Linked DNA regions of Arabidopsis thaliana. The protein of the gene in region 2 interacts with the protein of the main gene of each other region in a pairwise test. Each region holds a gene or a part of one and is shown on either strand. Other genes may lie near its edges.

Region 1 (15,321 bases), 3.8 Mb from region 2:
GAACTCCCCGTTCCATATAAGCTCATATGGATAAGGTTCGTGTAAACTTATAAGCCATTAGAAAAATGCCTTCTTTTAAATTGTGCATGAAACATTCAGATTTAGGCATTTGAATGTACCTGTCTCTCCGTGGGATCCCAGATTGTTACAATGCCTTCTTTTGGATTGTGCTCTCCTTCATTACTTAAGCTCGTCAGGCCAACAAGCCTAATCCTCATGAATGGGGTGACGTTCCTTTCACCTAAACCAGCGTCTTCCAGAGCTTTTGCCACTGATTTTTCCATCTGCATTTGCTTGGCTGCCTGAGGTTCAGATTGAAGCAGTTAATTACTGTAATCAATATATCAAGAAAAGGGAATTACTATTCTACCTCAAATTTTGCTTTATATGTAGTGAAAGATGTCAACTGCTCTAGGCTCATTTCAGCCATAAGAAGTTCAGGTTCAGCAGCCGTCTCTAACAGCTTAAAGACCTTGGCTCCTTCTTCGCTGTCAGTATCGTTTTGGCTGTGAACACCATTAATTCCTCTCTGGTACTCACACATAATACCCTCAACAAGAGCTGAGCGCCTACGGAAAATAGAAAAAGAAAGAAAGAAAAGTACGAATGAGAATAAACCATGAGGAACTGCAATCTTTGGCTCTTCTGTTGGCAAAACCATCCATATTCAGAAGGCCAGAAGCTTTTCTAATAAATACAAAGATTCTTTGTCTGTCCCAAAAACTACTTAGAACCCTAATATTGGTGTATGTAACAAATGTCTCTAGCTTTGATGAGTTAATCTGACACTTCTTAGAAAGTGATGTGCTAAATTGATCACATAAATGTTACTAAAAATTGCTACTCTACAGTTATAAGGAAACTTGCCTCTGATTATGCAGCTGTATAATTCTACTTTCTATTCTCTCTGATCGAACTATTGACTTCTTTTCACCTAACCTGTATACATCAAGAAAATATAATGCTTTGCGAGAAGTATAAGGAAGACCAAAGTGCATTAACAGGCACACATTTATATTGACCTTTCCTTGTATAGGATGGGGTATATTCGTGTGATGCCAGCTAGCGTTTTAGGCACTGGACCCCCATTGCACTTGATACAGTTGAAAGCCAGAGGGACACCAATTTCTTTACCTTGAGGAAGAGATTAAGAACGATCAATAGAAAGATAATAATATGAAAGCAATAAGAACTCAGATGATGTAGTGAGGTCCACAGCATAAAGCTACTTACAGAAGCCTAGTCGGTCCGCCCAGTGAGCTCTGTATGTCCCATTAATATTCAACAACAAACAGATTGTACTTGAAATCACTGCCTGAAAGTTTGGTTGAACGAAACTCTAAGAACAAACCAACCTGAGAAGATATCAGAAAATCTTATAAAATGCAAAGTCTAGGAAACCTCAAGTGGTGATGTTGGGGTAGCCCAGCCAGAAAGTCCTGCCCCGAGGATCTTCAGATAAGAGATAAGAACGTAAGCATGCTGCAAGTCAGTGATCTAACCAAAATCTGTGTTGCAAAACAAAGTATATCTTGCATGAATATAACTTACTCGAAGCTTCTGCCCCACAAACAATTTGCCAGCATTCAGCTGCTTGGTTAGCACGACATCCAGAGCAGCATTCATCGAGTACCTGTGATTTAAAAAAAAATCCTATGGAAATGAGACAAGAAAACAGGTAACAGAACAGCAGTAGCAATTTCATACCACCCATCAGTGAGTTCGACTTTCACATTGCTGCAATTATCAGAACAATGTGCTTCCTGAGAACCATTATCGGTCCTTGGATTAATAGCTGATATGCAGAGGACCATCATTGAAGAAGCTGGAGCATCACCACTCAGAATCCTCTTGATTGCAGAGCAATGACCATGATTGACCTCTCTCTCATATCTATTAAGAAGATTAACCATGTTAGACTTTGCATGAGTTTAAGTAACGAGTTGTGTTGTGAGACTGGGAAACCTGTATTTTAGTTCCTCAAGAACATTGGTGATTGTTAGAAAGTTTCCTCTGCATTTGGCTGGGTAGTATATGTCGTAGCATGCAAGTTTCCAGACTATCCACCTGTAGTGATTAGTAACCCACCTAGTGCATATGTAGTGATAGATAAGTTAATAGATATAGACATCAAACTGTCTATCTAATAGAGTGACAATCACATGCAAGCTTCAAACGAACAGTCACACACTTTTTCTGATATAATAAACATATAACACGGTTAACATTTCAAGGGACAGAGAAAGTACTTTCTGGATGCATGTTGTAAGGAAGCACCCGACTCAGCCAACATTTGAAGAAAAGTTTCAGCTCCAACCTTGTTTGAAGAAGACTCATCACAGAATACATATTTATCTGCATTACTTGATTTGATTCTTCTGACATGGTCTGGCACATAATCCATCTAAAACCACCTCGTAAATGTGTTTGAGTGAATGAAGAAAAAATTTATGTAACGCAGGAACAGGTGAAAGGGACAAAAAGATTTTACCCTGGTCGTAGCTGTCGGATGCATTCCAAAAAACTCCTTGATATATACTCTTGGAGACTTTTCTGGATATCTTGTAGAAAGTACCTTTTTGGAAGTAAGTGTATCACACGATACAACAGACAAACCTGATAATAGACAGGACACCAAAATTATAAATCTGAGAACCAACCAATTAGATTAACAAAAAATTAAAATTAAAATTAATCGTATATATTACCACTTGAAGCTTGCTGAGCATTTTTCTTTAAAGGAGTTTTAAAGGATGAAATCCTTGGCCTTTTGAAAGGAGAAACGGAGACTGTCTTTCCCAGCCTTTTCTTTTGGGTACTGTCTTGTTTATTGTTTGCATAAGCTGTATCTCTGCGATTTGTTATATCAACAAGTGGCTGATCAGCAGGCCTTCCAAGTTGCCTAGCTCTTGGAATGAAACCGTTTCCCTTGGAATTATTCACTGCCATATCTGATGCTAAAGGCCTGTTATTTGATAGTCCATGTGTAGCAGGTTTACTGATATTCAGAGCACAATTGGTCTCATCAACAGCCGTATCAAATTTCTTGATCAAATTACCCCCTGAAGCTAGGTTCTCCAAGTTAACTGATCTAAATTGCTTTGAAGATGAATGAAGAGGAGATACAAAACTATTTGACGTATGTTTGTTGCTTGTCTTTTCTTCATGAGCAATATAACCTGTGTTGACACTTCCATTGTTTATAGCAATATCACTTAGCCTTTCATCTTTCTGTGGTGTAAAAAATTGATCACCTCCAGCTACATCATCAAAGAAAGACCCTAACTCAGGGTCACCAAGAAGGTTTCTGGCACGTTTCAACGCCTCAGCTGACACTGACAATGATTTTCCACCAGCAGTCTGAAACTTTGTTGGAGGCACCTTTAACGATGGATTTAAGATTTCAGATCTCTTCCCAGATACATAATTCTCATATTGTCCTGGAGTTCCTGAATGATGCTTAACCACTGTAGCATCAAACTCCTCATGAGTTTTTAAACCGGACCACCCATGTTGCTGGAGGGAAGAAGACGACTGGTTCACATGGTTAAATCCATTCAAATCATCTTCTTCTAGTCCTAACAATGCCTTGGCTCTTGCTAAACCGGCAGAAGATACATTAACCTTTTTGTTGGAAGCTGTCTGAAAAAGACTGTTGGGAACACCAAACCCACTCTCCCTGGGAAGAACGTTGTCTACACAATCAAAAAGAATCTTATTAACAAATAAACTATGAAAAAATGTCACTTCTAATATTTATTCTCTAAACGAAGTAAGATGTGTGTTGATTAGTTCTTCACTATTCATCGTTTTATCTGATAACAACCAAACTCAAGAAACCTGGAAGTTGAACGGAGTAGCAGCACAAACAACAAGTTCATATGTAAATGCGCACACAGCTGGATATAAGACTTAAAAAAAGAGGAGATAAGAACACACCTGAGTCAATTATCATATCACTTCCTAGAATAGACAAAGGTTTGGCAATTGAAGACTCTTTCAAAGGGACAGTTTTCCCCAAGGCCGTCCTGAACATTGGCATAGTTTCAGCTGTATCCACTTGTCTCGTTTGGGGAATTGAGCAATTTGTGTTCTGCAAATCTAAAAGTGTAGCCAAGAACATGGAACATTCAAAAGATTTTCAGGAACACATATTCACCAACATTAAGTAACAATTCAAGCGAATTCAGAAACAAATGACTAGTCAAGGGAATTCAATACTGTCACATAAAATACCTGAATAAGCAACATTCTCTGCTAAAATGGATTTGGCTTTAGCAATCGAAGACTCTTTAAGAACTACAGACTTCCCCAGCCCAGTCCTGAACATTGGGATTTCCCCAGGCATCGATTCTTCCCGTTCTATAAGCTTCGAGCATCCTTGAAGCATCAAATAATAATTCAATCTCCTTTGAGTCACATGACAAACACGATTCGACAAAGAAAAGGAAGATACGAAGAATCACCTTGGAGCAAGAGATCGGCCATGGAAGGTAGAGGAGCTGTCGATTCGAGCGCCTTGGTTGGCGTAGAATCCGAGACGGACTGAAGAATCCGGCCAGCGACTTCCCACCGGAAACCATCGCCGCTGGAATCGGAAAATAAATGCCACGTCGACATTTATTCAGTTCTAGGGTTTCCAAGTTTTCCGATTCGTCGTTATATGATTCAGCCGGAGAACTAAACCTCGCGATTCAGAATTGCCTACCACGCCAAGAGGGAGGAGTCGGGAGTGCGGAATTTTTATTTTTATTGTTTTATTTTCTTTCCCCAAACCAAAATCATCACCAAAAATCCAAAAAGTTAAAAGTTCTGACAAAGGCGGGAAAGTTGAAAAAGATTTGGGCCGAAATTATGAGACGCGTGGTTTTATTTTAACTTTGGGCTTGGTTTTTACGGACATAGCGTTCCAAGACAAGTGTGATATTGCCACGGCCTTTTATTGCGGTAACTAACGGCACGAATGCTAACCCGAAATCGTTCCAAACAATAATTGCTTACGTGGACATTTTAAAACATCTGTTCAATGTGATTGGTGACTGACTTCAATGAAAATTACATTGCAACAATGGTCAAGTATCACAGAAAATTACATTGCAACAATCTCCACCTTCAAATCTCTAAACACGCCAGATTCTGAGAACTATAATTTACACGGGGGAAGCCGCTGAGGAGGCAGAGGGTGCTACAGAGGGGATCGCGGGAACACCGATGAATGAGAGGAATCCGGAGGCGGCATGATCTTGTTCGTCGAGGAAGAGATCATCGGGAGCTCTAAAGGCGCCATGGACACAGATTGTTGCTATTCCGATCATGAGAGCGGATATCAATACAGATCCGACGCTTGTGAAGAAGATCACTGCGATCGTGGAGAGGATTAGGCCACCGAGAGTTTCGTATTCGGAGAAAGATCGGCCGAAGAGGATAAGAGGACGATCTGATGGACGGAAGAGGTAGAGGAAGAGCCAGGAAGCGGCGAGACATAGGAGGAGGATGAGAGAGAATGGGTGGGCGAGAAGAGAGAAACCAAGGATCAGAGCGACAATGCAAACGTAATTCACCCTGAAATAAGAGGAATTTTTCCGGAATCGCGTCCCGGCCTCGGAGAGAGAGTCAGGCTTTGTGAAAGCGGATCGATCGAGGAGCTCTGACCACGGACGGCTACGAGATAGACCACCACAGACCGTCTCGGTCACACCGTTGACAAATGCACGGACGACTGGAGGTTGCGATTCCACCACAGCGGTTACAATCGGAGGCTGATTGGTGGTGTCTGTTGCGGTGGTGGAAATTGGAAGAACAGGGGGATTTGTTGACACCATTCGATTTTGTTCTTTTGGGATTTTGAGATTGGAAAATTTTAGGAGACGAATGATTTAGAGGTTGCTGAAGTTGCGGTAGTGTTATGTATATATAGGATCACAATTACGCGTCTTTCAACTTTGATTATACACCTTGCTTCATCTGATAGCTAATCTATATTCATTTGCTAAAATAAAAATAAAAATAACCTCCTGATATTATAACTCAGGTTATTTTTTTGCTTAACGTAGTTTATACAATAATTCTTGATTACTTAGGCAAAGTGCATTTGACCATTAATGTTCCAGTCACAGGAAGTTTCCCTAATAGAAAATATTTTTAACACAATGTTGATCTGTCATATGGAGTAGTAGACTTGACAATGTCAAATCCTTTTTTCTTTGATAACATTCATCTTCGAATTCTAAACATAATTATATCTAACGAGTAGACAAAGACTAAATAACCATTGTTTACCCTGATAGTAAGTTGTAGCATCATATATAGCATAAATGTTATTTCTTAATGCAACTCCATCAAACCTTAGATATGTTTACAATACGAAGTAGTTCAAAGTTACTTGATCGATGAGAGTAGATCATACATTTCAAGACAATCACACTAATCACCTACCACGGAATTAAAGAGTCGCCCCGTTCCAACCAAAGAAGGATCCCTGCAAGAAGAACCACACGAGAAAAGAAATGTATAATTGATATATCAGGTGGTTATAGGCATAAACACTCCAGATGATGGATGACCCTCTAAGCCAGTTAGACAACGGATTTAGAGAAGTTGAACGAATCTCCTAAATAACTCAACAGTGTGGGTGTAAAGATTGAATTCGAGTAGTGGAACGGTTTATGCATTTGATTTAATTGTTTATAATGCCTAGTTTATGAGTAAAAGTTATAGGTCCGTCTTATGATGATGAACTTACACACATAAGATGTATTTGTTCCCTATTCATGACCTAGTAGTGCTGGTGTAAAGCGTGTAAACATTGTGCATATTCTTGACTTTGATGGTCCTAGAGAGACAACGAACAATGAAAATGAGACATGGACGCATATCGGGCATATGAAATCATTAACACATTTGCATATGTTATGTCACTACATCAAAAAAGTTATCAGAGAGAGGGAATTGCTTGCCTTGGTGTCATAAAACTTGAGGAAGAATCGAGACTTGGGCACCGATAGCTTAGTCTCAAGAATGGCGGAAACAGCAGCGCTTAGCTTCTTGTTCACATCCGCATTAAGGCCACCGATAGAAACTAATTCACCATAAGCTGCAGGATCCTCGGTCCCGCCAAATGACATAGGCACTGAGCCTTTCAAGACAATCATCACATACTGCAAATTACCACAATGAACAATGCAATCAGATAATGATCTAAGAAACAACATTACAGGACAAAAATATTTAAACATCACTAACATAAACAAGCAATCGTCAAAGCAGACCAATATTGTTTTTGAAAACAAACTTCAGCAATGAGAAATTCAAGGGCCAGGAATGGCCTAGAAATCGTGGTAAAATAAAAAAGAAGAACCCCAACGAAGATTGTACAAATAAGTCAAGAGAAGACTCCGGAAATGTGAACCACTAGAATAGAACGGAGCAACGAGATAAAATTGCTTAGGGTTTCTATATCATGCATGTGAAGAAAACAACACTCGAATCGCTGTTATTCAATAAGGAGAAGAAAATGATTAAGAGATAAAGACGCACACAAGGCAAATCTCAGGAGAAAACGAAGAATCGAAACAAAATTCGAACAGAACGAAACGAACTAGAGGTTAAATCGAGAGAGAAAAAGGGATTACGTTCTCAGGCTTGCCGATGATTTTCGCGACGGTGGAGGAAGCTTCCGAGAGAATGGAAGATGTATCGACGCCGTCAAGGTTAACGTTGGTGGAGAGGTTGAGGCACGGCATTTTCTTCTTCTTCTTCGTCTCTATCACTCGACGCCAATTTTTTTTAGTCAAGCGGATAAAGAGAGTAAGACCACCCAGGAATTTTCCCCTTTTATCCTTAAACCTTTTTTATTCGCTTAGGCCCAAGCCCATCGTTTTTACGTTTGCATTCTCGTTTCGAAGATTCTTTCAAACGCTCTGATGAAGTGATTTTGGATTATTTTGTTTAGAAATGGGCCTTAATCTAGTTATAAAAGCCCGCTCAAATTTGAGTGCCCAGGAACGTTTATAAAATAGATCTCTCGACCTAGACCCGAACGCACCTAATTGGTTAGATGTTTTTTTGTACTTTTTTATAGCAAATCGATATTTCCATTTTGCTTCTACTTCATAGAGGGAAACTCTTTCCCCAAAATCAAAACTCCTAAAGGCTTATCTCTGTCTCTCATGACTTGGCCACCAAAAAAACAACAGCTTCAAAGTTTCCCCATTTACAAAGCCACCGCAGATAGAAAGCAACGCCTACCGATCGAGGAAGAAGGCACGTTTTTCCACCCTTCACCTTCCTTAAAACACTCAACCTGCAAACACACACATGATCAAAGATTAAACCGTGTCTGCTTATGTAAATTGTTTTAATTTCATTTCAAGTTCAGAACTGATCCTACAGTGTCTAATATGTCATCCTCTTCCCCTTTGTATCCTCCGATCACATATATTGAGTCTTTAACCACTGCCACTGCTGAATATCCTCTTAAATCCTTCATTGGTTCTCCCGTCATCCATGTCCCTGTCCTTGGCTCATATATCTCAACACTCGATACCATTGTCTCACCATCAAACCCACCAATCGCATATCTGCAATAGTGCATATGAATACAACCTTAAAACTCTTACCCAAAATTTGTCTGTTAGTTACTCTCAAAGAAGAAGAAAAATGGGGAGAAGAAACTTACAGTTTTTCATTCAGAACAACAAGAGAATGGCAGCCTCTTCTCGACTTCATCGATGCAATATTCATCCAGGAGTGCTCTCTAGGATCAAACCTTTCAGCTGTGCTGTTAAAAGTAAGTTTCCAATAAATTGTTCTTGTTAGCTTCACATGTGTCAAGATTAGGGGAAAAAATAGAACACAAGGCTTAAATGTTCTTACTTCAGGTACTCTTTACCATCATAACCACCGACAGCATAAATTGAACTTTTATGCTCCACGGACGCAACTGCAAATCTCTGAGATCAAAGAGCAGTGACAACTCAGAGAATAAAGCCGAGGAGAAGGTCATGGTATCATCTTGCTAAGGCTTATAACCAGTAGGTGAGTGGAAGCATAAACTACATTTCTATTGTTAACCTGACACTCCTTACTTGAAATTATAACTTAGCGAAATAGAGTAGTTTTAACAATGGATTCTCTTTGGGAATTTATGTTTTTAGCTGTGAGCTTCTGTCAAAAATTTCCCAGTGGGGATCTAATTGACAACTTTTCAGATTTTTGGCTTTCACCATATGTCATGCGAATAGAGAAGAACGTTTACCTCCTGCCCCATTGACCTTGTTCTGATCCATCTCCCTATATCTGGATCAAGCATCTCAACATCTGAAAAAGATACCATCCCATTCCCACCTCCGATTGCAAATATTTTTCCATCCAAAGTGGCTCCACCTAAACTTCCTTTTCGCTCGTTTAAGGGGGGGCACAAGCTCCACTGGCCATCAGTCTGGTTAAAGGATTCAGCTTCACAGAAAAAAGAAGAGGCAAAACAGAAATCAAAGATCAGGCTTAAATAATTATGGTTAGAGAGAAAAAGAAGTGTGAAGTGGTAGACATTAACTTAAAATATGCACAGCCGAAGTGAAGTGCACTAAATTAATACACCTCACTTCACAATTTGCTAAAAATACTAGAGCCATTTGGTTTAGTAATATAATGAAAGTCACAGTAGTATGCTTTTGCCACCCATATTCCGTTTTCTAGTTCTTTTAGTTGTCTGTTAAGAATATCTGGAAGGTTTATAGGTTTATATATGTATTGTATACAGGCTCTAATGCACTAAATAGTTAACTCATTTTAAGAACAAGAGAAAAAGAGAGGCCGTACCTGAGTTGGTCCAGCCACGGCCACCGTCATCACCTCCAAAGACGTAAATTTTACCATCCAACTTTGCCACTGATGCATTTGAACGGATACAGCTCATTGAACTATGAGCCTTTACAACATTCCTGGATGGAAAATATGACTGCACTGATGACAACCATGTTTCAGAGTCTTTATCAAATCCCCCTAAAAGAAGAATTGCCTCAGTTGGATCTAAGCTGGTATCATCTGGTGAATGGATCTCCAAATCACTGCCACCAGCTTTGGTGATTAAAGGACCTGATATGGACTCCAGCATGTTGCAACGCTCTGTCAATTGATAAATTTCCTTGTGTGCTTTGTCCTGAAATACCAAATATCGAAAAGTAAAAGTGTTATGGTTTCTCCACCACTATATTTTGAGCTTATTGGTTCCAAAAACAAGGGAAAATGATACCGAGATGAACCCCTAGCTGAAAATGATAGAGGATCATTATCACTGATATAATGAATATCTGTGTGGGTGTGGTCATATTACACATGCAAACAGAATTCCAGCAGGAAGAATGAAAATCAAAATAGCAATAAACAAAATCTTACCAGCTTCTCTTCCAAGTAACATATCTTGGTTGAATTTTCCAGCCCGCATGCCCTGAGTTCCTTCACCTCATGCATCAACTGCAAAATATTTAGCCAATATGATCCCATTGATTTTGATACACCCAAGAGACATGATAATCTTCCGAGAAGGAATTACAAGTCTCAATTAACTATAGATCATAGTCTTTGGAAGAGAAGCAAGCTGACATGGAACAGTTTCTTCTTAACTATTCCTGCAATATTATAGCTAATACACAGAGTTCTACACAGTTAATAATTGACAGCTCAGATGGGTATAAGTAGAAGGGGGGAACAGACGTGAGGTTGCCTAAAACTTCGATATTTTGGCTGAGAAAATTGGGGGTTCTGTTTGTCGTTCGTTCTGAGAAGAAATAAAGGGGAAAGTGTTGACTCTAACAGATTTACACATAGACTTGTATAGGAAGTAACAGTTAAAGTATTAGAAATGGAGACCTAGTTTGAATAAATACCAACCATGTGTAGATACCAACGTACCTGGCTTATTGTATGTGGAAGAGGAGAGGATACAAGACAACTGCCATCTATTTTCCCCTCTGAACATGTTTCCTCTTCAAGTGTATCTCTGTCTTCCAAGTTCTTGCAGGTGGGAATGTTGGCTTGTTCAACAGTTTCAGTTAGACTGTTGTCTCCATGCTCATCATGACTAAAGACGAGATCCTTCAGTTTCTCAAGAACATGATCCTTATCTATTTGTTTGGGGTTCTGTACGTCTGGATGGTTCTCAGAGAAACCAGGATGAGAAGCAGCAGCAGAGGAGTCAGATTCTCCGCCAGAACTGAGTGACACTTCCAAGCTACCCACTGGTTCATTCTCAGAAGGCTTAACCTCATCACTGTTCTCTTTCTTTTCACTTGATGAAATCAAGCGAAAGATCTGTCTTGTGTTTGGTGTATTCATGGGTGGTTTAGGTTTCACAGCAAAAGATGTTAGCAGACATGTCAACTTCCTTGTTTGGAAATGATCAAGCTCAAACCAAAAATGGTGAGAACTGTAGTAATTATCTGCAATTGCAGGTTTGAATTTTTCCTCGGAAAGTGGTTCACACTGTAACCTAACACTGATTGGAACCTGCGAAACCGTAAAAGACCACTGCTTATTTCATGAAATTTATACTGCTTATGGAAAAGGTTGGCAAGGGATAATGCCTCCTGAAAACCATATGTAATCCAATGAACTCATAGAAACACATATTCATGAAAGTGATCAAATGTCACTCTGGTACCTGTGCAGGATATGAGGTTCTCTCAGAACCATCAGAGGTCCAGCCATAAGGGTCAAAATTGAGCTGACCACAACCAGCAGCCTCAAAAATGCCATGAAGTGTACGATCAGAATAGTTGAAAAGAAACAATGGCAAACCAATATCAATCTTCTGCACGTATGGATAGTGGTTAGAGGGTAAACCTGTCAAAACCATCAGCGGATTCAAGAAGCATATACATACAAACATTGCGAAATAGAGTTTAGAAACAAAAAAATGCAACAGCATACGACAATGAGCAAGCAAAGAATCAAAGTAGACAGCAAACAAACAGCTACATTCAGCAGAAGCAAAAACAAGCATGGGAAAAGAATAAGCTATTCAAGAAGACTCACCAAACAACTGTTTCGACATACATTCTTTGATGGTATTCTTAGTGCAGCCAAAGACAACACCACCTAGTTGACTTTTCGTCAGGTTTCTGAAGGAAAACTTTCCCCTCCTTTGAGCCATCCTGACATTGATTGGGTAAAAGGAAAGAATATCAAAGGATTTACAGTGTAACAACAAATCCAGTCCTTCCAATGATTGAAACGGGTCTTATTGCTCAAGCATGTAATCAAGACAGACACAGTCTCCAGATTTTTCGTACGGTTTTACTAACTAGACAACAGAAGGATGAAAACCTTCAAACACATGGTGTGCATTATTAAGACACTCAAGAGGTAGCTTATGAGGCAGCCATTGATGTGAAATTACAAAATCACGAAGAAATTCACATGATGAAATACGAAACACAAATGTATACAATTTTCAGTCAGCTAACGAACAAGGCCATATAACTTAACACACAAAAACCCAACCAGGAGCGAAATCAACAAACAGATAATTCTGAAACAAAAGCGCAGAGCAGAGTTTCCAAATCAGTAAACAACGAAATTCCAACCTTACATCTCAACTCCTCGTGAAATCGAAACACGATAAGAACCATGCGATGACAAAACCCTAGGAAAATAAGCAAAAGGCAACGACTGAAACCTAAATGCTCACTTAAACTGGAATCGGAGCTTGATCAACAGAGAAGTTGAGTGAGAGCGGTGAAAAATCGAAGAAGACGAGGTCTCAGAGAGAAAGAGAGAGAGAGGGAGAAGAAGCTTAGGCCATCATGACTGATGGCAATGCAAAAGACGATGACAAAGCCGGAGGAGCGACGGAAACTGAGCGACGGAATTTTTAGAGCCTTTTAAGCTGCAAATTTTAAATATACCTTCTTCTTCTTCTTTTTTTTCAATTTCTTCTGCTTTCTAATATACAACTTTCTCCTTTTTACTTTTTCTACGGTAAATTTTGAAAGAAATTAGACATTAGTCAAACTGTTTACAAGTATTTCCTTCTGCGGAAAAATAGACATCGATGCAAAATATTTTTAAAAAATATATATCTATTAATTTATCATTTTTAAGAAAAAATTATCCTTTGCATATAAAATGCGCGTAACAATGAATTTCCTCGATGAATTTGAAGAAAAACAATAATTGGTCATATTAAAAGAAAAAGAAGAAGTAAATATAATATTATCTATAAAAAATCATGTGTTGTCAAATCATGCAATGAAAACATGAATACAATAACACAATTCAATATACCTTTTAGCATATAGGCATGGTCATAAACTAATTAATAAGAATATTGTTTCTTTTGTTGATAAAATATTGTTTGTCTCCGAAGAAATATATGTAGGGAGATATTAAGTTATTATGATTGTTTCTAATGAAGTGAGACATTAAGACTTATTACTAATAGTAGCTAACTTAAATGGAAAAATGTAAACCGTGAAAACTATAATACTTCTATCAAACAAATGAAAAAGGAGACACATCTTCCTCTTTTATACTTTTACCCTTTTTAGATTTTATTAGATGTGGACATGCAATGTTGCATAAGCCAAACAGTAAAAGTTGTACTAAACATTATATAAATGCTCAACTAAACAAAGAGAAACAGACATTATAATAATCGCTAGTTTTGTACTTAAGTGTGGTTGCGTGATAGAAATATTTGTTTTATAGCCATGGTACGTATTACCTAAGTACGTAGGATCGTAAATGGGTTGAGAGAATGAATGTTCTTGATCCCATTTTCTTATGACAGTATTTTGATTTGGGTGATTTGCAGATATAACATTTTTTCACTAAATAATTAACTAACTAACACCATAAATTTGTAAATGTAATAAATAACCTTCAAGGGGTGTGAAAAGACATCACTGTCCTGGTGTTACGTTTGTCAGCGAGGAAGGAAAATGTGGTGACGTGGCTTTATTATTAGTGTTGAGGTGAGAAAAGAAATCAGGTGGTATGAGAGAAGTTCCTTTTTCTCTTTCTTTTTTCTTTACCCCTTCCCAATTGTAATTCATATTATCTAATCTTTAAAAAATTAATTCAAGTTCATGATATATCAATTAAAAAGTTGTATAGTTTTCTACATATATCATGACTTAAATTTTTTAAAACAGACACAAAATAATTTAGATGTGAATAGTGTTGTCAATGAATAACATAACGTTCTGTATAGATACACAATATTTTTTTATGGAAAGATATTAAACCCTAAGGGATAATATATAGGGAACCCAAGGGTTTAAATCTAAACCAATAATTAAATCACTTAACATCCTTAATCAAAACAAATAATTCATTTTAAAACGTATATAAAACAAGGTATACGTAAATAGTATATTTACAAATAGAATAGTATCTCTCAACTTGCAACAACAAAACTCAATTTCATAACCAAGACACCAAGCGCAACAACGAAAGTCGATTCCCTGAATCCAAATTGTGTTCCTCTCTCTGTAATTCGAAACCCCCAAATCAAATCTCACCCAAAAGTAATTAAGAGACTCTGATTTGAAAACAAAAACAAGTAACGATGTAGGTGTGAGGACTTTACTGGGGAGAAAGAGAGGGGGAGGGAAAAAGAAAGAGAGAGAAAGAGAGAGGGGGAGAGAGAGAAAGAGAGAAGGGAGAGAGAACGGAAGAGAGAGGTACACATAAAGAGAGATGAGAGAAATAGATAGAGGGGTAAACTTGGAATTAATATACAAAATATAGAGGATATCATTTTTTTCTTTTTTTAATGTTAGTTTCTTAATTATAAACTTTTTGTTGGTTAGTTTTGCCAATTCCCCTTTTGATTTTATGAAAATAGGGTTTTCTCAATAATTAAGTTGGTATCATGAGTAAAAAATCATTTCAAGCATAAACAATCTTAAACTCTTAAATTGTTTACGACTAAAGCTTTTTTTGTTTTCGTAAACACATCAGATTTATCACAAGATGCAACCAAAAGATTTGCCAAATCCTCAAAAAAAAAAATCGATCAAAGCGTTTGCGTTTTTTCTTTTCTTTTATTTTTTTTAATGAAAAATAATGAAGAAAACAATTTCATGCAATAATTACGTTGGAAGCCTTTTTGGGCTCGAAATTCGAATGCTTTATCTATGATGGGATTGCAAGAATTTTTTATTAAAAAAAAAAAGTTATGGCGTTTCGGTTAAACTCAGAAACTCTAATCGAGTTAGAAAACTCACGATCGAGTTTTGGAGCTTTGGTTAGGATTGAACTACACCAGTTATTGCAAACTCCGAAAAGAAATCAAGGTCCGCATAACCACGAACCAAA
Region 2 (15,791 bases):
CCACATAATTCGCAAGAAATGAAAGTTGATCCAGATTTAGATTCAATTGAGCCACATAAGTGACACTTAGGTTGATCATGATCAGAATCAGAGTTCTCCAAGGGAACATAATATCTCTCTCTGTGGAACTGATGGACCCGTTCATTGCCAGCCTTTCGGGACAAAAGGAGGCCATTTAACCAATAGTTCAAGCACCTATCTGTTCTCGCCTTTCTAATGGAGATCTCTTGTTTTACTTTCTTAGGTCTACCTCTGCCTCTTTTGGTTTCCAGTTTCCGTTTCTTACTCCCTTCAGGGACTTTACTTTCATCCTGCAGCCGAATAACATGCTTCAATTGCCTGCCAGAACGTCGCAATGGTTTGCTTGCAACAACCTTTTTATGATTCTTTAACCTTATGGCAATTCTCTCTGCCATTGAAGTCTTAGTCTTCTTTAACCGAGGTGATTTGCGAGCAGCTATGACTTTTTTACGCTTTTGCGTCTGAACTCCAATTTTTTTCCGGAAACTCCCAGGGGGCCGCCCTCTTTTTCGTACGGTGGGTTGTTCTTTTGATAGCACTTCACTTTTGCATGGAACACATATGTACATGCCTTCCTTCTCTCCCCTCCTGATATGCTTTTTGTGAAATACTCCTGAAGTTTTTAAAAATAAAATCAATAATAATTCTATGAAAGATCATGTTAGCGAGTCTCCACTTGGTTGGGAATGAGTCTAACTAGTGCTTACAATTCTAAGGGCACCCTCACCCTCAAGTTACCTTTTGGAGCAAACTTTTATTGTCTAAACTCTAAAGTGGGTCACATTAGTAAGTAAACTGGATTGCCCTTGGGATAACTGGTTTACCAGCTGTACCGCAGGTCAATACGTCGAAAATGTTTTAGTTCTTCTTGTGCACAAAAAGTGAAGAAATACTTATTCAACCATCAATTCATGAAAATGATAAAAAGAATATTTTTTAACTTGTTTTTCCAGTAGGAGGTTCGTTTATTTTATGTTCAATAAGTAATGAAACTCATCATAATTTTATATATACCAAATAATTACTGAACCGGTGACAAGCTATCCTAGACGGGATTTTGTTCCAGGTTGGATCAGGCAGGTCGGGTTTTAATACTGGTTCCACCTATAGGCCTTGTGGGAGTTTGGTTTGTGGTAAAGTATAAGCTAGGTCAGATCACTTACACAGGCATAGGTTTTGGGAAAAACAAAATCTTTAACAAAAGTAACAGGAAAAGAAACGCACCTTTGCAGATGTGGCAGCTTGCAGCTTCACTGTCATCAAAGAAAAACAGATACCATAAAATATAGTTAAAGATCATTACTCTGATATGTTATATAGGTCAAATGTCATGCTATTAGAAGCTAAGCAGAGTCCAACTGACAATAAAGGTTACTCAATATAGGATTGATGTTCTGATCAAGACAAGGACTTTTGAAGGTAAGAAGGGTTGTGATAGGTACATACCTCAAAGGCACAACTTTCTTACATTGCTCACACAAGGAGGATTCAGATCTTTCTGCCCTTTCAAATAGGTATGAGAATCCTTTTCCCTCTGAGGACCTTTTCCGTAATTTTCCTATCTCAGAGTGTCTGAAAGAGCCTCCTGGCTTGCTAGTTTTCCGTACAGCTTTTTTCTCTTCAAATCCTTTCACAAGATGTAAAGGCACATGTGATTCATTCAGCCAGAACCTTTTTCTTCCACTCGAGGATTCTTCAACCATGCAACCATTCTTCGACACAACATCCGGAATATTTCTCCTCTTACCAAAGTCAAGGAGATATTTCACAGTCTCTTCCTCCGTGCACTTCCTACGGACAATTGCTTTTTTGAATAGCCTGGCAGATTTTCTGGATTCTTTGTCTAATGTAGGAAGAAGATGACTGTTTTCAATATCATCCCACTTTATGTAAGATTGGAGTGTCCTAATCTGTGATCACAGAATTGTTAGCTGATAATCATCCAACACTGAGAAGACTATAGAAGACAGTGTTACAAGACAACATATTCAGTGTACAAAAACTGCAAAAGTCAGTAAAAATCCAAGTAACAGTATATGAAATGGATGGCACACTAAAAAATTTAACGAAACTGACACCATCAATATTCATGCGTAGACGAAATGAAAACAAAAATTCGTGTCACGACCTGTATTACCCATATACCCTTCGAAACTTCAACATTGATACTTTCTCACTCATACCAACGAGACGAGAATTACATTCAGTTTGACAAAGTTTATATTACCTGCAAACCGAGCTGCTCTGAAGTCGTAGATGACTCCACCGCTGCTTCCCAGGCAACACGTCGGCTTCTCTTAGCAGACTCTGAATTCTCCGGATAAAATATTCCTGGAATATTCATACTTCCACCTGCATAGTGTAGAGTGCATCGAGAATGAAACAACTAAATGGAACTATGGAAGTGATGGGAACGATAATTATTAAAGACGGTAGAAGAACAAACGCGAAAGCAAGAACAAAAGAGAAAATGTAAACCTTGTCTAGCAGCCTTCGAGATTAAAGCGCGAGGTAAAACCTTCCAATTGAATAACCGTCGTGAAAGTTGCCCGCCTCTCCACCAGCACATGGTCAATCCACCATTTTTCTTTGCAGTAGGGTTAACCCCAGAATCCAACAATGTCCCCCTTCTTTTACCAATAGCAGTCTTTGACCATGATCGTGTCGAAGCAATTAGAATATGTATAGCTGAGCCCATCACTACGGCAGCATCGACATGGCTTAGCCACTCAAGTGAAAGTACACGATGATGCAAATTTGCCTCTAGCTGCCCAAAGGTAATTAACAAAATCTTTCATTAGGAAAAGAAAATTGATGCACCCCTAGGTTAGTCACTAATGCATTACACACAGAAAAGTGCTCAAGAGTTGATATTGAAAGACTTTCGAAGATAGTTAACTCGTAAGCAATTGGAGAACCAACAAAACATTCAACATTCCTGGCCACACTAAAAGGTGAACAGAAATTGATTAATGCAAGCTTTTCAAGTAGGAAGAAAACGAACCAAAGCTAAAGTTCTACACAGCAGAGGATCATAACGAAAAAATTTGAATATGACATTTTCGACATGGGCAAGTTAGTGTGGTTGTTCAGAGATTGAGCTTTTGCCAATACAATGATTCAACTCACAAAACAATTCCACATGCCATTGCAAAATGAATGTTTTAGGAGGAAGAAACTTGTGAAAAACTTACATCAACCAATAAATGTTTCAAGCTTGAGATATTTGATGCCTTCAGAATGTGTTCACGCCAAAAGCTGGAGTGCTGTGGATTCAACCATGGACCAACCAAAAGTCCTTGTAGTCGACTTTCCAAGGAAAGAATCTGGCATATGATGGCCAGAAGATGACTGTTCTTCTCAAAGGATTGAATGTTAGCTACTTCACTTTCCGAAAGACCTCGTAAAGCCCCGAGACTCATATTAAACAAACAATTTATCTCAGTACCGGCATCCTCAGAAGAATTTTTGCAGGAATGACACCATCCACAATTTTCTTTCCATGCATCTAGGTAGAGACTTTGGATGTTTCGCCATTGAAATTTGGTGGTTTTCATCAATATAGTCCTCACCTGGGTAGAAGCTATTTCTTCATCAGATCTCATATCATTGGTACGGATTGGTGACTTACGTATCATCTCTTCATAAACTGATCTAGTCATCTGAGCAAATATGTATTGGTTTCTGTAGCCTGTTTCAGTCTGCACATTTGGTTTAGTTCCTTTCCGTGTGTTTATTTTAGCCAAATTTTGGGAATTCATATTTGGCTCTTTCATGATATCCAACATGCTTGATGATGCTGGCTCATGAAGTCTCTGGACATCTGAACCATTTTGTACAGTTTCAGCAGATCCTTCAGAACTCATATTAAGGATATCTAGCGCAGTAGCTGAATCTGATATCTTCCGGCGAGTCCTAGGACCATGATTATGTGACCATCCATTGCTGGTTGCTTTGTTCAGCTTTTTTTTAGCACCAGATGTTGACTGTTTCTCTGAAGCTGGTAGAGGAGCCCCAAACCCATCAATCGAAGGAATCATTCCTTTGACTGACTTATCCATGCATACAGACATTTGGGAATTCAGACCGCTGATTGTCCTTACTGGCCTAACAGGGATATCCAAGTGTTTTCTAATTGCACTTACTACGCCAGCATAGAAACTACTGCATGACTTTAGCTGCTCCAGCACAAGGTTCACATCAGTCACATGATAGTAGTTCAATGAGCCTGTGCCATCTGTATCTATCCTGCAAATTCATAGTGGACGACATCAACCAACCTACTAAAATGTATAACAGTTCCTACAATCAACATATGAAAGAAGTTCGTAGAAATAAATGATAAGAATATTCCACATCTGTATACATGGAGGGATAGTAAGGGTTACCATGTGCATCTAAATAACGAGCAAAAAAGGCTTTTCACAGATTTAAACATGCAATTCAACTTATTGGAAAATTTGACGGGAAGGACGCATAGTTTCACAGTTTTATCATGTTATCTGTACATTTTAGTTAATTCTGTGTAATTTAGTTAATCCTCAGCTAGCTAAAATTAGGGGGTAATGTTTTTAAACCTAAAACCAACATGTATATCCAATGCTCGTCAGACTACTGATTTAGACAAATTTTTTGCTAATATTCATATAAACATTTGTTTGTTTACTATGAAAAAACAATTATAGTGATCCATATCCACAATTTTGATTCCATTGAGATCATGCATTAACCATTCTTAGCTATGAGAATCGAAGAAAGAAACTTACACCAATAAGTAGCCACAACTGCTGTAGTATTTTCGACCATGCGGATCAATCTCTATAAACTCTGCGCCTCGAATTTGCTTATCAGGCTTCAATCCTGGTGCACGCCGATCAAATGCACATTCAGGACAGTACCAGTCCCCCTCAGGCAAAAGGTGACTGGCAAGACCGACACACTTAGAATGATATGCAGCCGGACAACCATCACAGCACAGTAAGCTCCCATCCATTTTACAGAAACAGCAGTCGTCACTGTTCCGGTCAAATGAAGTATCAATGACCTCGTTATTTAAAGAAAAATCATCAGCCAGCTCCATCATAGTTCGCTTTCTACGTCGCACTTCTGTGTTCGTCTTCCTATCAAGTTCCATTTCAAACTCAGCTGCAAAAGATCTTTTATTAAGCTCTGCCCTCACGACTTCAGCATCTGTCATATCATCGCACAAACGACTAAGTATCTCAATTTTCAGATTCACGGGTTGTCTGAAATAATCGTTTCTGAAAAAGTTCAGCCGAGTAAGATCCAATCCAGGGTTGTCTTTGGACCCAGAACATAGTAGGTATTCAACCACAAAAAGGGGATATGTAACCACATCCAACGTATCCCAATCAAGACTCCTGCATTCAAGATACCACCAGCAAAGCATCAGAACCAAAACAGGAGAAGCTTTATATCCATAAAACAGCAGTAAAACTAAAGTACTAAAGAAAGAAAAATAAAAAGTATACCTCAGACAAGCAGACGCAGATAGGTCACCTTCAGCAGCGAGTTGTTTCAAATGTTTTCTTAATATTTGCAAGACAGAAACATGGATGCTATCAAATAATAGACTAGGAGACATGCACCTCAATGCTTCCACAAAATCCTTCAGCTCAAAAGGACTCAAAAACAGCAAAGTACTGAAGGACCTCAGACAAGAGTAAGCAGTAAAGACATCAAGTACAGGAAGACCGTCTAAATCCAAAATAGGGGAGGATGGAGGTAATTGTGGCTTTGGCGGGAGTGCAGAAATATTATCAGCTTTTCCATCAACAATCCAAGTTTTCTCCTCTGTCAGACTACTAATTGAAGGAGAAGGGGATACTTCCTCAACAAAGCAAGCTGTTACAGTACTACTGACAGGCGATCGAGCTAACCTTCTACGAGCGCTTCTTCTCAACTGAGGTTCACTCATGAATTTTGGATTGTCAGAAGCTTTTCTTCTTTTCCTCCTACCACTTGTATATTCACCTGAATTTCCCCTATCAGAGAGAGTCTCATCAACAGTCTTAGCATCATGATGAGGTAGATCAGGATCCTTCTCAACCCCATTAGAATTAAGATTCTTGAGATCTTGCGGTGAAACAATGTTCTGCTTCTGTATCTCCTCCAAAAGCTCAGCGCTGGACACTTCAGCAACATGAACTTCTTTATATTCCCCAGTCTCAATATTATCCTGGGCACCATTTCCGTCCTGCATGTTGATTTCTTGAACAATGTCATTTCCATTCATTTGACTGTACTCCTCATCCTTGCTGTTCTCTACATCAACCTCCACGTTCAAATCAAATCCTACCTCCCTCTTCTGCCCACTGAAATCACAGATAGCAGCATTGTCCAAATCACAGCTCGCATCCATGTTCAGATCAATATCCCACTTCCGTTTGTCACTACAATTTTCTTCATAATCGATATTTACATTAACCAAACCTAGATTTTCATTCGAATTCCAATCCAACCCAGTAGTCAAATCAAATCCAGTTTCCGATTCCGACACCGTCCTATTCAAATCCGTGACAGAGGAGTCCCATGTCCTACCTAGGGTTTCCACAGGACCACAATTCAAATCAACATTCCCTCTCAAATTCTCCTCACTAACTCCCGAATTCTCCGCAACTCCATCATTTAAATCGACATTTACCTCATTCAACCCAGAGCTCTCTCGCTTGATCTCAACCACCCTCGCAACACGAGACCGTTTCTTCGGCTTCCTACCAACTCTCTTCTTCTTCACTGGAACCGAATTCTCCTGAGATTTACCATCTCCCATCACGAGAGCAACAACCTCATCCAATTCCGAAATCTCCGTAACACCGTTCTCATAAACGATCTCGAAAAATCCAGACGAATCGCGAGATCGAACCGTCCCGGAGCAAAACCCAATCCCTTGGATCTCCTTCCTAACGACTTTACCAACCAGCTCCATTGCTACAAAAGCTTGCTCTCGCTTCACGATACAAGCGAATCAAAGAAAACCCATAGCCAAAGTCTCTCTGGATTGCAAAAAAAAAAGGAGAAGCGCTGGGTTTTCACTTTATTCTAGAAACGCTTGCAACGTGCAAGGAGAGAGAGACAAGGACAGAGATTCTCTCTCTTCTTAATTCTCGGAAGCAAAGAAAAAAAAGTAGAAAGAGAATTCTTCTTCTACAGAGAAACGAAACGTCTTAACGAATTCTCTCAGTGATGATGAGAAGAAACAAAGACGGGTTGGTCAATGTTAGGAAGAGAAGGCCATCTCTCTCTCTCTCTCTCCCCCCTCCCACACTACTCTTTTTTTTTCACCTTTTTTTCTTATTTATGGTCAAAGGATGTGTGATATGTATATTGTGATATGTTTGCCTGTTTTTTTACCTTATTTATATGAATTGGTACTCTAACTAACAAGTTACAACTATGTCATTACATGTGTGATTGATTTCTTGATGTACAGTTTATTATTTTCCAAGTATTCAAATAATTTAATTTATATAAATATATAAGTAAAATAAATAAAAATTGGTAAATATTATTAACTAAAATGTTAAATTTGTTGATATAATTTATGTTATAATTAATGGATATTTTATGTTAATATATGTGTTGTATAATTTCAAAATATTATTCTAAGAAACACATTTGTATACAACTACAATAAAGATTTGACACATGGAAATGTTGTCCTAATTTTGTTTTTTCATCTTATTCTCTTTTTAGAGGTACATTTGTGCTAGTTTGTTCATGTTTGTCAATATTCGATAAATACTCTCTTTGTTAGTTTCGAAAGTATATATATCCACCAATCTTACTCTCGAATGTCATTCTCTAACCAATCTGCAATTTCTCCTAACTAAAAATTCCTAGTGGAGATAAAGCATGACGGAATGAATGCATGATGGACAAATTAGTATAAAAACTCATGAAGATTTGATGTTTTTGTTTTTGCTAAAAGGTAAATATCATTAATATGAAATAGAGTTTGGATTTATATTTTGATTATCAATACAATTCCTAGTAAAAAAAAGGTTTGAGAAAGAGAAATTAATATAACATACAAAAATTTATAAATTAGATAACTAACCAAAAAAAAAAATTATATGATATTGTGAGTATAATATATATCAATACATTTTTATCCTTTTAAAAACCATCACTATTACCACTTTTGGCCACCACCACCTCCGGCCACCACCTTCGTCCACGACAACGTCCAGTCACCACCACCGTTCACCACCACGTCCGGCCACCATCACCTCCGGCCACTATTTCCGACCACCACAACCTTCGGCTACCACCACTTCCAGCCATAACCACCTCCGGCCACCACAAATTCCGGCCACTACCCTCGGCCACCATCATTCTCAATCACAACCACTTCCGGCCACCACCATCTCTGACCACCACCACCTCCGGCCACCACCGCGTCCAGTCACTATCACCTCCACCAAAACCAATTTGGTCAATAATTACCCTTTATAGTTAGTTACTACATTTTTAAAATTATAGTGTTAGTTTGTTAATTATTTTATCAAATGTTTGTTTTGCAATTCACTCTGTCAATTTTTTTTTTTTTTTTGTTAAACCAATATTATCTTTATAAAGAAAACATTAATATGATAATAAATTAATAACAATATCCACCTAAAATTCTAAATTAATTTAAAAAATCTCTAAATTTACGCAAAAATTTTATTGCCGTCAAATTTCTGGACTGGTCTTCGTCAAAGAAAAATAGCTGAGCACAAGGGGAGGATCATCGTCAAAGCCAACGAGAAGAATACTCTGAAATATCTTGAAGCTGCGACAGGAAAAATGGACGCGGCGATAGGGAAGGTTTTCGATTCCGTCTCAGACTTCTTCTCCGGCGCTGCTTCTGCTTCCGCCGATGAGTTTCCCTTGTGCGATTCCGACATCATCTCCGTAAGTTTTATGATTCACCACCTTTTATGTTCCTCAACTTGACACGCACAGGAACCTCGAATCACAAATTTCCAATTGTTTTAATATCTCCTTCATCGGATTTTGGATTCTCTTGCGTTGCTTGTCCTTGTAAAGAATTTTTTTGTGTTTGGCCTGAATTTTGGCATGCATACATAATTTTGTAAGGAATTGACATCGTTCTCAGGGATGTGAGAAAGAACTTGCAGAGGCTCAAGACGAAGGACGTAAGAAGGAATGCATTATGCGTCTTTCATGGGCTCTTGTTCATTCAAAGATGCCTTCGGATATTCAGCGTGGGATTGCAATGCTTGAAGGTAATAGCTTATGTTCACACTTTCTATGGAATCTTCAGCTGCCTATTGTTCTTCCAAAAGGTGGATGCTTTGATCCATATGACTGGTTTGATCTTAGCAAAGTGTTTTGCTTTGTTTTCGCAGCTTTGGTGGTTAATGATACAAGTGCAATGAAACTTAGGGAGAAGCTATATCTCCTTGCTCTTGGTTACTATCGAAGCGGTGACTTTTCAAGAAGCCGGGATTGTATAGAACGGTGTTTGGAGGTTTGATCATCTGTTCCATGGATAACTCCTGAATATCTTATTGTTGATGTATTCTACAATGCCTTCTTTTTCTTTCTGTGGTTTTAGGTTGAACCGGAGTCCGGACAGGCTCAGGCACTCAAAAAGGCTATAGAGGACCGTATTGTGAAAGGTACTATTGTGTCAACTGTCCACACATCGTCCATTAGAATCTTCAGCTGCTTTTTCTTAACTCTCTTTTGATTTTTGAAATCAGATGGTGTGATTGGCGTTGGAATTGCTGTTACTGCTGTAGGGGTTGTTGCTGGTATTGCTGCAGCCATATTACGCAGCTAAGGAGGAAAGAACCCATACATGTACATGTTTCCCTTATTTTCAGTGAGTCTGTTTAGTTTCTTTGTGTCCTTCAAAGAATGTCTTTATTAAGGAAAATTATGTAATTCCTGTTTTACTATGAAAAGCTAAACAACAGAACTGATTGAGGAAGCATCAAACAGAAAACTTTATTATTACTTCAGCGTTAAATATAGTTTTATTCCATACTAGAAAATTAGAAGAGATGCAACTGTTTTAAGGTGTTAAGTTGAGGATGAACTCTAAAGTTGTTTTCCATGTCCTAGCAAAGCTAGAAGAAAGGCCTTGTAGTCCCCTGATGTCTCTTTTGCTATAGCTTGATCGAGACTCACATTGTTCCTCTTAAAGTACAGCCCAGTTATATTCGTCAGGTCCTTTTCTGCTCGTGTGACAATCACACGGTTCAGAGCATCTTCATCAGTCCCCACCGTGTTGATTGAATTGCGCAAAACCTACGTGCATTAGGGATTAACCATATGAATACCAGTTAGTTTTATTGGGATAATTTAGAGAACACATCTAAACAATATTGTTGCATCCTACCTTTGCATAATACCGGGTAGGGTTTTTGATGCACCTGATGGCTGCACGTAGTGCACTCAGGTACTCATTTGTAGGGTGATTGAGGAGATCCTGGTCATCAAATGTTTCATTAAGGACAGCAAAAAGAACATTGTCATGAAGAAAAACTGGTATGACTGCTGTATTGTTGTCTAGAAATTTCCAATTGATTGCTTTGTCACAGATCAGTTATAACATAACTTGATGTTCATTTTTTTGTTTGTATACCTTAGTGATCGATGTGCCATATATATCCTTGTAGCGGTTGAAGATTGCGCTAAGCTGCATGCTGCTCCTTGTACTTAACACCCTGATCGTTTCTTCGTGATCAACAGCCTTACCAAGGATTTCATCATGAAGAATCGCAGCCTCTGATTGCGCCAGCATCTCATCAATTTCTTCTCCATCATATTTATAAGCAGACACCATTGCAACCAAGAGCTGTATATATCAAGAAACGCCCAAGCGTTGAAGATCAGTCAAAACTAGAAGAAACTATCTGGAAATTTAAAATTACTTACTCTCCTGATGTCGCCAATAGTACGGGAGGCCAAGTCTTCCTCAAGAGAATGCTTGTAGAGGCAACGGTAAGCACGTCTAGCAGCTAACATATCTTCAGGGGATCTCATGCAGGCAATTTCGACAAGAACCTTGTAGTCAGGAATAGGCTTTTGAAGAGCCAAGTTAGCCAAGAGAGCATCTCTCTCTGGAGGATCCAAGACCCACAAGCAAATAGCTCTCTGCAGGTAACAAATATATTTATCTTTTGTGGATTATTGAAATAGAGTAGAGTAGAGCACATGGAGGAGATATATAAAATCTAAACCTCAAAATTGCCAGAGAGCTCAGATTTGAGCTGGTGAATGAGATCCTCATGGTAAATCTCCTGGTAAGCTTGTCTTATGAGCTTCCTCTGGAACAAATTCCGGTGTCCTAAGATCGAGATGATGGCATTTTCATTGGTTCCCCATCCTAAAACGCCAAATAGAAATAAAGAAGAGGAGTAAAGGAGATAGCAAGAAACTTGATGAACCACATAAGTTTTGAAACACTAATCCAAAGAAAAGTAGAACCTTGACAAGCCGCCTTGATGTTTTCAGCGTCTTCGACAGGGGAGAAATGTGGAGGAGAAACAATGGTGGCCATTTTGTTTTTTCTGTTTCTGCGTAAGATATCTTTGACTCAGATTAATCACTTGTTGGATATTGCTTCCATTGCTTTGAGCACTCTTAATTTATAAGAGTTGGTAATGATGTTACAATGCTTTGAAGAGACCAGAAAATGTTTCAAACGGCTCATTGATTGTTTTTGCTCTATGTTAATCTGAAACTCTCTCTGTTAACGCCACCCCTTTATGTATATGACTTTGCCGTTATTTTTTCAGGAATTAAGTTTTCATAAGGAATATTATTGCATCCCATAACACAAAAGCTAACTGTAAACACGAACACAAATATTTTTGCCTTAGAAAAAAATTAACAAATTAACAGTTGATCAAATTCGTTAACCGGCCGGTTTAGGAAAAAAAAACTCGTATAAAATAAAATTAACAGCTCATCAGGAGGGAGCTCATAGTTGTGAAAAGTCCGCCATTGAAGACCGTCTCTCTTTTCTCCGTCTTTTTCTCCCTGCAGTTACCGGATTCCTCCGGCTAGATCTCTCCGTTCATCGCCGGTAAGTTGCTCCATATTACATTTTTCCTTTCCCGTGTGCGCGATTGGTCATCTATAGGTTCTAAATTTTGTTGCATTCGGCGGAGTAAACAGCGATTACCGGTGATGACTTAACTTAGAAGATTTACGCTAGTGTAGTATCATTGAAGAATCCAGAATCATACGCATCTCTTTCTGCTATTTATTGAATGTTTCATATATGATCTGTCAGACTTGATTCTTCAATTCTTTGAATTTTCCATTTTATCAGATGACAGAAGGAATCAGAGCAAGAGGACCCAGATCATCCTCTGTTAACTCTGTTCCTCTGATTCTTGACATTGAAGACTTTAAGGTGAGGTTTTCAGTTGCTTATGTTTTTTCACTTTTGAATCATAAGGGATATTGATTTTTTTTTTTTTGTCACTGACAGGGTGATTTTTCATTTGATGCATTATTTGGGAACCTGGTAAACGACCTCTTGCCGTCTTTCCTAGACGAAGAAGCAGATTCTGGGGATGGCCATGGCAACATTGCTGGAGTTGATGGTTTGACAAATGGGCATTTACGTGGACAGTCTGCTCCTTTGTCCTCTGCTCCTTTTTTTCCTGAAGTAGATGGTCTTTTGTCTCTGTTCAAAGATGCTTGCAAGGAGTTAGTTGATCTTCGGAAGCAGGTGAGTGTCTTGCGTCTACATCGATGACTAGCCCTTGTTTTATCTTTTCATCGTTCCGATATCTGAGGTTTTTGTTAATTATTTTGGAAGGTTGATGGAAGGCTCAATACACTAAAGAAGGAAGTTTCAACCCAAGATTCTAAACACCGGAAGACACTGACTGAGGTTGGCAGACTAATACTATTAGTTTGATTAAATTCCTTGGGTACATGGATCACTACCTGATGAATAACTGACACCCCGATCATTTCTTCAAATGGTAATTGAATTCTCTTTCTAGATAGAGAAGGGTGTGGACGGTCTGTTTGAGAGCTTTGCAAGGTTGGACGGTCGTATTTCAAGTGTTGGACAGACCGCTGCAAAAATAGGAGATCATTTGCAGGTAAAATTTACCTTGCTTATAACCAACTATCTGGTGGTCTATCCAATATTAACCCATGCTTCCTTTGTCAGAGTGCAGATGCTCAGCGGGAAACTGCTAGCCAGACGATAGATCTTATAAAGGTAAGTGTGCATCTATGTTGCAAGGTTGGTCACATATTTAGTTAGATGAATGCTTAAAGTAATCCTTGTTCAACAAATGCAGTACCTAATGGAGTTCAACGGCAGCCCAGGGGATCTTATGGAGCTTTCCGCTTTGTTTTCTGATGATAGCCGCGTAGCTGAGGCTGCTTCTATCGCTCAGAAATTACGTATGATGTGATAGCTTTATGTTACTTGAAATTTGTCTGGAGTGTTAGAACAACTTTTTATCTATCATTTGTTAACAACTAAGAATTTAACTCTCCAACAACGAAACTTTACTAAAACCAAAAAGAAACAATGAAAATTTACAGTTAAATTAGGCTGCAATTGATTTCCATGCTCTCCTTGTCGATATCAGGATCCTTTGCTGAGGAAGACATTGGAAGGCAAGGTGCGAGTGCAGCTGCAGGAAATGCTACCCCTGGCCGAGGACTGGAAGTTGCAGTTGCTAATCTTCAGGATTACTGTAATGGTAAACTAATTCGTTTATACTGTGTTTTCTGTATATTTACTGAAGAGGATTATTGTATGTTCAACTTTTTCTTTGTGACATTTGAGTATGATGCTGTAGAATTGGAGAACAGGCTTTTATCTCGTTTTGATGCTGCATCACAGCGGAGAGATTTATCAACCATGTCAGAATGCGCTAAGATTTTGTCACAGGTGAATGCTTTATTCTGCAGCATGCCCCTTTACAATTCAGTAGGAAAACCTGTTCTTTTATCTAAGATCCGAGCGAAGGCCTTCCTTACGTATCGAGTGATTACATCCTGGTTAATTCTACATAAAGCTGTCACAGAAGGAATGGATGTCTAGTTCTCCTCTTGTACATATGGTTCTTGATACTTAGTATTTTTTCTTCTTGATTTTCAGTTTAACAGGGGTACAAGTGCTATGCAACATTATGTGGCTACACGTCCAATGTTTATTGATGTGGAAGTCATGAATTCAGACATTAGGTTGGTTCTTGGTGACCATGGTTCTCAGCCTAGTCCTAGCAATGTTGCCCGTGGACTTTCTGCTTTATTCAAGGAAATTACAGGTTTGAAGGTCATTGATCTGGATGCAATACTTGAAACATGCTTCTATGCTGATTCATATATTTTGTTACTTCTTATGTGTAGACACCGTACGCAAAGAAGCAGCGACCATTACAGCTGTTTTCCCGACTCCAAATGAAGTTATGGCGATCTTAGTTCAGGTAACTGGCACCGATAATTTGGACACTGTAGTGTTAACCCGGCATATGGATAAGCTATACCAACTCTTCGTGTATTTTACGCAGAGAGTTCTGGAGCAGCGTGTCACAGGTATTCTAGACAAAATTTTGGCGAAGCCCTCTCTTATGAGTCCACCACCTGTGCAAGAAGGCGGACTGTTACTAGTGTGTAGATACCTCTTTATCTCTTTCTTTTGCTATCTTCGTAGTAGGATTGGTATAAGAAAGTTAACTCTTAATTTTTGTCTTTAGTACCTTAGAATGTTAGCAGTTGCATATGAGAGAACACAAGAACTTGCTAAAGACCTCCGAGCTGTTGGATGTGGTGACCTGGATGTTGAAGGTCGTTTTTTTTAATGATAGAAGTTTTGTTTTGTCATGCAAACTTTCGTTGGTGCTGACAACTCTATATTTTGACTGTGCAGATTTGACAGAGTCCTTGTTTTCCTCGCACAAGGATGAATACCCTGAGCATGAGCGGGCCTCCTTAAAACAACTATATCAAGCAAAGGTTTGATATGGTTATTTCAATTTTCTGATTGAAATTAGTTGTTATGTTGTTCATTAATGTGAAGTGCTTAGATTTGAGGTTTTCTCTACAGATGGAAGAATTGCGTGCTGAGAGTCAGCAAGTCTCAGAGTCATCTGGGACAATAGGACGCTCTAAGGGTGCTTCAATATCATCATCTCTGCAGCAGATATCAGTCACCGTTGTCACAGATTTTGTTCGATGGAATGAAGAAGCAATAACCAGATGCACATTGTTTTCATCTCAGGTTACTGAACTTAGCAATTTATGAGAAACTTTTCCAAAATAAGTTAGTTGCTGTGAATTTTGAGAAAAGATGTCGGAATAGGATATTGACAAAGAAATAATCTAAAATATTGATTTTGGCTGAATTATCTAACAGTAAGTAAACTTTAATATCTGGGATTGCATATCTGATATTTATAATTATTTTTTTGTGCAGCCAGCCACACTTGCAGCCAATGTTAAAGCTATATTTACTTGCCTGCTAGACCAGGTATGCTGTTCATGAGATTCTAGAGTCATTCATATTAATAGAGCTGATGCAATGATGAGTTCTTGCAGGTGAGCGTATACATAACTGAGGGACTTGAACGGGCAAGGGATAGCCTGTCTGAAGCTGCAGCATTGAGGGAGAGATTTGTTTTGGGCAGAAGAGTAGCTGCTGCAGCTGCTTCTGCTGTAATTCCTTCTCTTTTCTATTTCTCACTATTTGAAATGCTATTGTTATGTGGAGTTAATTATAGTTTCTTTGATTGTTTCTCAGGCAGAAGCTG

What was found.
Region 1: the proteins of FIS1B (region 2) and PRA1.B5 interact in a two-hybrid assay, tested with the Arabidopsis thaliana proteins (one large-scale study listed by BioGRID).

Annotation. Positions count from the first base shown.
Region 1 is NC_003076.8:236,292-251,612, forward strand, and holds PRA1.B5 (prenylated RAB acceptor 1.B5), read right to left. Parts: upstream 6,032-15,321; 5' UTR 5,823-6,031; coding exon 5,151-5,822; 3' UTR 4,921-5,150; downstream 1-4,920. Other genes in the region: BRCA2B (BRCA2-like B), read right to left, coding at 120-302, 371-569, 868-939, 1,023-1,134, 1,234-1,315, 1,402-1,452, 1,552-1,633, 1,708-1,893 and 7 more; AT5G01650 (Tautomerase/MIF superfamily protein), read right to left, coding at 6,776-6,832, 6,957-7,157, 7,632-7,742; AT5G01660 (influenza virus NS1A-binding protein), read right to left, coding at 8,213-8,302, 8,390-8,579, 8,678-8,779, 8,875-8,951, 9,257-9,456, 9,820-10,159, 10,396-10,473, 10,912-11,505 and 2 more. UniProt on the Arabidopsis thaliana protein: May be involved in both secretory and endocytic intracellular trafficking in the endosomal/prevacuolar compartments.
Region 2 is NC_003076.8:4,004,992-4,020,782, reverse strand, and holds FIS1B (Tetratricopeptide repeat (TPR)-like superfamily protein), read left to right. Parts: upstream 1-8,648; 5' UTR 8,649-8,832; coding exon 8,833-8,940; intron 8,941-8,941; exon of another isoform or gene 8,942-9,145; coding exon 9,146-9,275; intron 9,276-9,398; coding exon 9,399-9,520; intron 9,521-9,607; coding exon 9,608-9,671; intron 9,672-9,755; coding exon 9,756-9,835; 3' UTR 9,836-10,095; coding exon of another isoform or gene 10,096-10,305; 3' UTR 10,306-10,340; downstream 10,341-15,791. Other genes in the region: AT5G12400 (PHD-finger and DNA binding domain-containing protein), read right to left, coding at 1-634, 1,246-1,274, 1,468-1,931, 2,249-2,373, 2,500-2,788, 3,216-4,269, 4,788-5,402, 5,514-6,970; ANNAT8 (annexin 8), read right to left, coding at 10,096-10,305, 10,397-10,486, 10,643-10,855, 10,936-11,154, 11,241-11,386, 11,488-11,560; exocyst complex component sec10, read left to right, coding at 12,338-12,421, 12,500-12,742, 12,833-12,907, 13,023-13,124, 13,196-13,246, 13,329-13,434, 13,626-13,739, 13,839-13,930 and 9 more. UniProt on the Arabidopsis thaliana protein: Component of the peroxisomal and mitochondrial division machineries. Plays a role in promoting the fission of mitochondria and peroxisomes.